2 linked regions of the Macaca mulatta genome follow. Each later gene encodes a partner of the first gene's protein in a complex. Links are inferred from orthologs where the notes say so. Each region holds a gene or a part of one and is shown on either strand. Other genes may lie near its edges. The genes, in order: CYFIP2 and BRK1.

Evidence for each region.
Region 2: CYFIP2 (region 1) and BRK1 share a complex: the UniProt entries of both Homo sapiens proteins name them as parts of the WAVE1 complex. The link is inferred for Macaca mulatta from reciprocal best matches to the Homo sapiens genes CYFIP2 and BRK1.

Annotation. Positions count from the first base shown.
Region 1 is NC_133411.1:166,199,259-166,203,069, forward strand, and holds part of CYFIP2 (cytoplasmic FMR1-interacting protein 2), read left to right. Parts: intron 1-684; coding exon 685-761; intron 762-3,410; coding exon 3,411-3,519; intron 3,520-3,811. UniProt on the Homo sapiens protein: Involved in T-cell adhesion and p53/TP53-dependent induction of apoptosis. Does not bind RNA. As component of the WAVE1 complex, required for BDNF-NTRK2 endocytic trafficking and signaling from early endosomes.
Region 2 is NC_133407.1:148,959,368-148,963,786, forward strand, and holds the start of BRK1 (protein BRICK1), read left to right. Parts: upstream 1-1,606; 5' UTR 1,607-1,627; coding exon 1,628-1,745; intron 1,746-4,419. UniProt on the Homo sapiens protein: Involved in regulation of actin and microtubule organization. Part of a WAVE complex that activates the Arp2/3 complex. As component of the WAVE1 complex, required for BDNF-NTRK2 endocytic trafficking and signaling from early endosomes.

The sequences.
Region 1 (3,811 bases):
ATCGCTTGAACCCAGGAAGTGAAGGTTGCAGTGAGCCGAGATCACACCACTGCACTCCAGCCTAGGCGACTTGTTGAGCGAGTCTCTGTCTTAAAAAAAAAAAAAAATACAAAAAATTAGCCGGGCGTGGTGGCGGGCACCTGTAGTCCCAGCTACTCGGGAGGCTGAGGCAAGAGAATGGTGTGAACCCGGGAGTCGGAGCTTGCAGTGAGCCAAGATTGTGCCACTGCACTCCAGCCTGGGCGACAGAGCGAGACTCCGTCTCAAAAAAAAAAAAAAAAAAAAAATTGCAAAGCAAAGTAAAATACAATGAAAAATAACATCTATCAGAAGAGAGAGATGGAGAGGCTGCCGAGTTAGCAGACAGATTCAAGCACTGACGGGTTCTGACGGTCTGTTCGTTGCATCCCTCCAGGCAGGCAGCCTCAAAACAGCTAAGGAGGGGGTCCGTGGGGAGGTTGGTTCCTTTTTGAACTTTGCCTTGTCTGTTGACTGACTGAGGACCCTGAGAGCAAGGGACCAAACCTCCCAAACTTAGCCACAGAATCTTCTTTTTCCCCTTCAAAGCGTCTTTCCCCAGAATGCACTTTGGGCAGTCCTGGCCGACTGCCCTCTTTCAGTTGGCTCGGTTTCTGTGATTAAGCTGAACGGGCACCAGTGATGTTCCTGCTTCCTCTCCACCAGGTGAACCTGTGTTTTGATCAGTTTGTCTACAAGCTGGCAGACCAGATCTTTGCTTACTACAAAGCCATGGCCGGCAGGTAGGAAAGCCCCAGAGCTGTGAGTAGCAATCTCTTAAGACTGCCACCTGGAAGATGTGATTTTCCATTGTGAAACCTCCCTTCTTCTTTAGCCCCTGAGGAAAACAGAGCCATTCCACAGGCCCAGACTGGGTGCTGAAATAGAGTGGAAAGGAAACTAAATAAATAGAGGGCTCACCTCACACAGACTGCAGTCTAGCAGGAAAGACAGACATTGACTAAAAGCCGATGAGTGCACAGTGACAAGGAGGTTACATGCTCTCTGTGAGGGAAAAGCTCGTGGGAACGTACGACGGTTAAACCTTTGGGGGTGGGGAACTAGAAAGGCCATCTTGCGGAAGTGGCATCTGAGTTCTTATCTGAAGTTGGTAGGAGTGAAGAAAGTAAAAGGAGGTGAAGGATGTGGCAGGAAGTTGCAGGCAAAAGGAACTGCTTGTGCAAGGTCCCTGTGGCGGGAGTATAATGATAACAGCCTGCCAACCTCACAGGGCTGTGGGAGGATTCCTGTGAATTAATGCATGTCAGTGTCTCTTCACCACCACTAGAGGGGGCAGGCTGCCTGCTAAGGCTGGGGAGGTGGGCAGGGCCAGGGCACGCCGGCTTTGTGGCTGTTTCTCCCAGGAGTGGAATGACTCCGAATGGTTTCAAAAGTACAACAGTGACCCGATTCGATTTTTATTTACTTGTGAAAGTTTACTCCCTTAAAAATATAAATGTACGGAGAATGAATTGGAGAAGAATGGGTGTGTGCAAACCAGACAGGAGGCCAGTGAAGAAGTCTGGATCAGAGATGTATCAGGCTTAGAGGCTCCTTGGTATTGCCACTATATGTTGGTTCAAACCCTCGTGAGTTCTTGGTTTTCAAGAACCTGTAACAGCACTGATCAAGGAAAACCTCAAATTTATATATAGGTATTTCCATTCTTATTGGAAATCCAAACATACCAACCAGTAATTTCAAGGATAGTTCCTTGCTTTAATAATTTCTCTATGAAACGGATTTACTTCATTTTGCTTTTAACAGCCAAAGTAGCCCTGATATATTTCAAATAGGAGTTGATGTGCAGCACATATAAGTTTCTGTTAACATAGGATGTGCATTAAATAATGCGACTCTTAAAGGCTGGAAAGTATAGAAAGCATGCATGTAGGATTTCAAGGAAAGCAGAGAACACAGCCTTTCACAGAGTAGTCAATACGCATCTGTGGATTGAATGGGATGTGGTTCTAACAGTGAGTTGGGTTTCTGGCTTCTATAAGACAATTCTGATTCCAAATACACTGTTCCATCATCTATAGAAACAGACTCAGGCATGTCGAACCCTGGGTCTTCCTTTGTCTAACTTATGGGCTTTTATCTACACCCTTCCCTGTAAGATCAGTGATTTTTTAAAGTGTGGAAAGTTGAGGAGGTTGAGAGATTCGGAGAAAACCCAGGAGGAAAACCATGAGCTAGGTCAGTCCTGTTCATTCGAAATGCCACATGGTCACAAACGTGAGCCAGAGATGTTATTTTAAATTTTTTAGTAGAGGTATTTTAAAAAGGAAAAAGAAGCAGGTGAAATTAATTTTAATAATATATTTAACCCCACATATCCAAAACATTATAATTTTGACATATACTCAATATAGGAATTATTAGAGATTTTTCATTCTTTTCTTCTAAGTCCTCAAAATCCTGTGTTTTACAGCCCATGTCAATTTGGACCAGCCACATCTCAAGTGTTCAGTAGGCACATGTGGCCGGTGGCTACTACTTTGGACAGTGTAGATTTAGATCATGTCTCTTTCTTTAGGTGGCTTTTAGTTATGTCTAGAATACACCGAGCCTCTGTACTAGGATCTGTGTGGCCCTACCTGGTTTGGCCCTGGTCTAATGTCATAAATTCATTTTGCACCATACGGTGCAACCTGCACTGTACTTTATCCACACTGGCCATCTTTCCCTTTCTCAAACGTAACCAAGCTCATGGTGTCGATGATAGTGCTCCCCTAGATCTTTCCGATTTTATCATTCAGGCCTCCATTTAGCAAAACTTCTTTAGAGAGACTTTGCCTGACTTCCTAACTCCAAATGATCCCATTTTCTTATTTTCAAAGCACTTGCTCCTCTGCAATCCATGCCTCAGTGTGAAAGATAGTAACACTCCCAGCTCATAGGGTTGTGGAGAGATTTAAAAGGACGTGTGTTTGTCTGTGTGTGTTTAAAGTGCCTGGGAAATAATAAACACTATGCAACTATTACCTATTATCTGAAATTATTTCATTCCTCTGTTTGTGTTTATCAGTCTTTCCTCATTCGAATATGAGCTCCATGAGGAGAGGCACCTTGTATTCCCAGTACCCAGAATGTTTCCTGGGATACACCAAGCAAGCACTCAATTGCTTTTGTGGTAAATGAATAAAAGAGGAAAGTGGCCCAAGTTCAGTGTTGCCCATCTTTAACTTAGAAACTCTGTTTCACGTATTGAGCTTCTGTGACTCAAAAGAAATGTGAAGTAACTTATCTAGAGCAGAAAACAATTTTGCTTAAGATATATAAGATAGTGCTCTGTGGGTAGATTCTATGATCTGAAATAGAAGTATCTGGGCAGTTGAGAGTCATTCACTGTCTGTTTACTGACCTTGTTTCACTTTTATTCCTTCCAGTGTCCTGTTGGATAAACGTTTTCGAGCTGAGTGTAAGAATTATGGCGTCATCATTCCTTATCCACCGTCCAATCGCTATGAAACACTGCTGAAACAGAGACACGTCCAGGTATGGGGAGCGGAAGCCACCATGGAGATGGAAGGGGCAGGAGAGAGCAGCTGTGAAGTCAGCCTAGAGATCAGGAATCAGGCCTGGGTACTGTCTTCCCGGCACGTTGCCAGTGTGGGTTTCTGAGCCTGGGTGTAGCACAGCCTCAGGATCTCATAAACAATAAGGAGGCATTGGGCGTCCTTTGGCTCAGGTTCTGGGCTTCTCCACCGTCTATAGCTGACCTCTGACAAGTTATGGCAACCAAAGCCTTCGTCTTCTCATCATAAGCTGCAGCCCACTTTTTCCAGTT
Region 2 (4,419 bases), on another chromosome or scaffold:
AAAATAGCCGGGTGTAGTGGCAGGTGCCTGTAATCCCAGCTACTTGGGAGGCTGAGGCAGGAGAATCACGTGAACCCGGCAGGCAGAGGTCACAGTGAGCCAAGATCGTGCCATTGCACTCCAGCCTGGGCAATTAACAGAGAAACTCCATCTCAAAAAAAAAAAAAAAAAAAAAAAACAAAGAAAAGGAAGGAAGGGAGGGAGGGAGGGAGGATGTTTTGTTTTTCCCCTTAATTTATTGTATTTGTTTTCATGTTGCTTGTGTTCATAATTAGCATTTAAATGACTGCATAATAGACTGGGCGTGGTGGCTCATGCCTATAATCCCAGCACTTTGGGAGGCCGAGGTGGGCAGATCACTTGAGGTTAGGAGTTCCAGACCAGCCTGGCCAACATGGTGAAACCCCCCCTCTACAAAAAATACAAAAATTAGCCAGGTGTGGTGACCTGAACCTGTAGTCCCAACTACACTGGAGGCTGAGGCTGGAGGATAGCTTGAGCCCAGGAGTTCGAGGCTGCAGTGAGCCATGATCATGCCATTGCATTCCAGCCTGGGCATCAGTAAGACCTTGTGTCAGGCCCAGCGCGGTGGCTCACGCCTGTAATCCCAGCACTTTGGGAGGCCGAGGCGGGAGGATTATCTGAGGTCAGGAGTTCGAGACCAGTCTGGCCAGGATGGTGAAACACCGGCTCTACTAAAAATACAAAAAATTTAGGCGGGCGTGGTGGTGTGTGCCTGTAATTCCAGCTACTTGGGCAGCTGAGGCAGGAGAACCGCTTGAATCCGGGAGGCGGAGGTTGCAGTGAGCCGAGATCACACCACTCCAGCCTGGGCGACAGAGCGAGACTCCTCTCAAAAAAACAAAAAACAAAACCTTGTCACAAAAACACAAAGTTCCTTCTGAAAGGGATTGTTCCAGTTTGCAGTGTGCCCACCTATTTATGACCATGTCATTTTTTAGACTCCGTCTAAAAAAAAAAAGAAAAAAAAGACTTGTATTTAGTGTGTTTTTTTTGTTTGTTTTTTTTTTTTGAGAGGGAGTCTCGCTCTGTCTCCCAGGCTGGAGTGCAGTGGCGCGATCTCCGGGTCACTGCAAACTCCGCCTCCCGGGTTCACGCCATTCTCCTGCCTCAGCCTCCTGAGTAGCTGGGACTACAGGCGCCAGCCACCGCGCCCGGCTAATGTTTTGTGTTTTTAGTAGAGACGGGGTTTCACCGTGGTCTCGATCTCCTGACCTCGTAATCCGCCCGCCTCGGCCTCCCAAAGTGCTAGGATTACAGGCGTGAGCCACCGCGCCCGGCTATTTAGTGTGATTTAATCGACTGTGCCCATCTTACTGCGGACACAGCCTGGAGCAGTTGAGGGAGACGGCAAGACCCCCCACGAGCCCGTTTAACACCATAACGCGCGTGCACTACAACTTCGCCGCCGGAGTCGAGGCTTCTGTTTTCTACAGCGTGGGAGTAGAGAGCAAACGCCAGCGAGGACGTTACATTGCACAGGCGTATCACAGTACCCGAGAATTCGTGGGCGCTCCAGAGGATGGGTGTGGGCTGATGGCGCAGGCGCGCTAGAGGCCTGTAGGGTCGGGGCGCCTGCGCAGTCGCTCTTCCTCAGGCGGCCGCCATGGCGGGACAGGAGGATCCGGTGCAGCGGGAGATTCACCAGGACTGGGCTAACCGAGAGTACATTGAGATAATCACCAGCAGCATCAAGAAAATCGCGGACTTTCTCAACTCGTTCGGTCAGCGGGCCAGCAAGGGGAGGCGGGGAGGAGGGAGGCCGCTGAGGCGCTTGGGCTGGGCTCCGGGGAGATGCTTTGAGAGGACTCCCGGAGCCTTCGGCTATTGCGGGTTTTCACTTCCTCCTTCAGGTCCCACCTTCTTCCTCCCGTCCTGACCCTCAGGCTCCGCTGGACAGTCTCTGTAGGATTATCCTGCCCTACGCTGAGCTCCTGGCTTCCTGCCATGCCCCTGGACCCATTCTACAAGTCCTTTTCCCAGACGGGTCAGGCAGCCCCATCCTCGCTCCGTGGTTCTCCTAAGTGGTCTCCCTGCCTCCTTTGTACTCTACATCCATTCCAGTCCCCACTTTGCACTCAAAGTGAACATCCGGGACCGTGTCACTGCTCTGTTTGAAGACTGTTGACGGTTCCCCATCTTTAGGATCTGCTGGAAACCCTCTAGCGTCATGACTTTTAGTTGGACCCGTTGTCAACCACTCCCGTCTTGTCCATTTCTTCCCGTCTCCTGTGTGTGCTGCGGTGAGAGTGGTTGGAGATGAGGTCAGAGGGATGCCAGGATCTTGGAAATCCTCTCTGTATTGCTAGTATATAGCTTGTGGTAGGTGTTCTGTCTACTTCTAGCCTGTTCCTCAGAGCTAGTACAGGTCGGGTGCCTTCAGCAGAAAGACATCTTTACCAGAGTCTTTCCTAGGCATGGCCTGCTCGTGACAGCCTTAACTTCTTATGAACAGCAAGCAAAGTAATCAAGACTCCTACCCCTTCTTCTCCAAGTGTTTAAGAGAACTTGGCACTGGTTAGATTTTCTTGTGTAATTACAGGATATAGGGATGCATCTAGTGAACTTTTCCTCAACTAGTGTACTTTGGAAAGATTTTTAAATGAATTATTCTCTAGCTAAAGGAATGATGGCCTTAGGAGTGTAAAGGTGACAGAGCAAGAGATGGTCAGAAAGCATCAGCGAGATATGCTAGAGCTCCATATGAGGCCCTCTCTTAAGGCATAGTGGGAGACACAGAATAAGAACCACTTCCTACATTCAAAGAAGTTCTAATCTTGAAGATGAAATAATGACAACTTCAGAACAAAGAAGAGCATCATTTTTGTATTAAAGTATTTTCATACAGGGTGTATAGGACTATAATCATGGCTGGGTTCAATGGCTCATATCTGTAATCCCAGCACTTTGGGAAGCCAAGTTGGGAGGATTGCTTGAGCCCAGGAGTTCAAGACCAGCCTGGACAACATGGCCAGATCCTATCTCTACAAAAAAACAACAATGACAAAAAATTAGTTGGGCATGGTCATGCAGACCTGTTGTCCCAGCTACTCGGGAGGCCGAGACAGGAGGATCACTTGAGCCCTGGAGGCAGTGAGCCATGTTCATGCCACTGCACTCCAGCCTAGGCGACAGAGTAAGACGCTGTCTCAAAAAAAAGAAATCCTGAGTTGGATTCTAGTAATGTAATTTCATTTCTGAGAACAGAATTGTACCAGTAAACTTTTAATTCATTATGTTTATCTTTGACATAGTCTTGGTATATCATACCCATTAAATTTATAGTGAATGAGTCTTGGGACTGACTGAAAATTGAAAAGCTTAAGCTTAGGATTTGTAAAGGAGAAATGTCTCTTTTCTTGCTTAATAGGCAAGGAGATATCAGCTCAGACATTATGTCTGATTTGTAAGAGTCACATTTTATGATCAGATGGAGAGTAAAGACTTTTTATTTGGGCTTTCCAACAATTTTTTTTTTTTTTTTTTTTGAGACAGGGTCTCACTCTAGTCCAGGCTGGAGTGCAGTGGCATGATCTCAGCTCACTGCAACCTCGTCTTCCTGGACTCAAGCTATTTTCGTGCCTCTGCCTCCTGAGTAGCTAGGTTTACAGATGTGCACCACACCTGGCTGATTTTTGTGCTTTTTAAAGTAGAGACAGGTTTTGGCCATCTTGCCCAGGCTGGTCTCAAACTCCTGAGCTCAAGTGATCCACCCACCCCAGCCTCCCAAAGTGCTGGGATTACAGGCGTGAGCCACTGTGCCCTGCCCCCAACAAATTCTAAACTAAGGAATTAGACATACAGAAGTCCAGTCTTTTGGAGCCAAAATAAATGACTTCCCTTAGCTTAGATCATTATCCTCCCTTAAAGTGATGATGATGGCCAAATGTTTGGAGTAATTACTAGGTGGTTTTTAAAGATTTTAGAAAGTGAATTTAGAGAAAATAACAATTAAATTCAACTAAGTAAGAAGATAATTATAATGCAGGATTAACAGTCAAAGGAATTTGACTTAGTAGTTAGGTGTACCTGAGGCAGGTTCTTAAAGATTGGCATGGTGGCTCATGCCTGTAATCGCAGCACTTTGGGAGGCTGAGGCGGGCGGATCACCTGAGGTCAAGTTTGAGATCAGCCTGGCTAACATGGTGAAACCCTGTCTCTACTAAAAATACAAAATTAGCTGGGTGTGGTGGTGCACGCCTGTAATCCCAGCTACTCAGGAGGCTGAGGCAGGAGAATCGCTTGAACCGGGGAGGTGGAGGTTGCAGTGAGCAGGGATCGTGCCACTGCACTGCAGCTTGGGCGAAAGATTAAGACTCCGTCTCCAAAAAAAAAAAAAAAGAAAGATTGACAATATCACAATGCAAGAGTTTAGAAAAAGACCCCACAAGCTGCAAA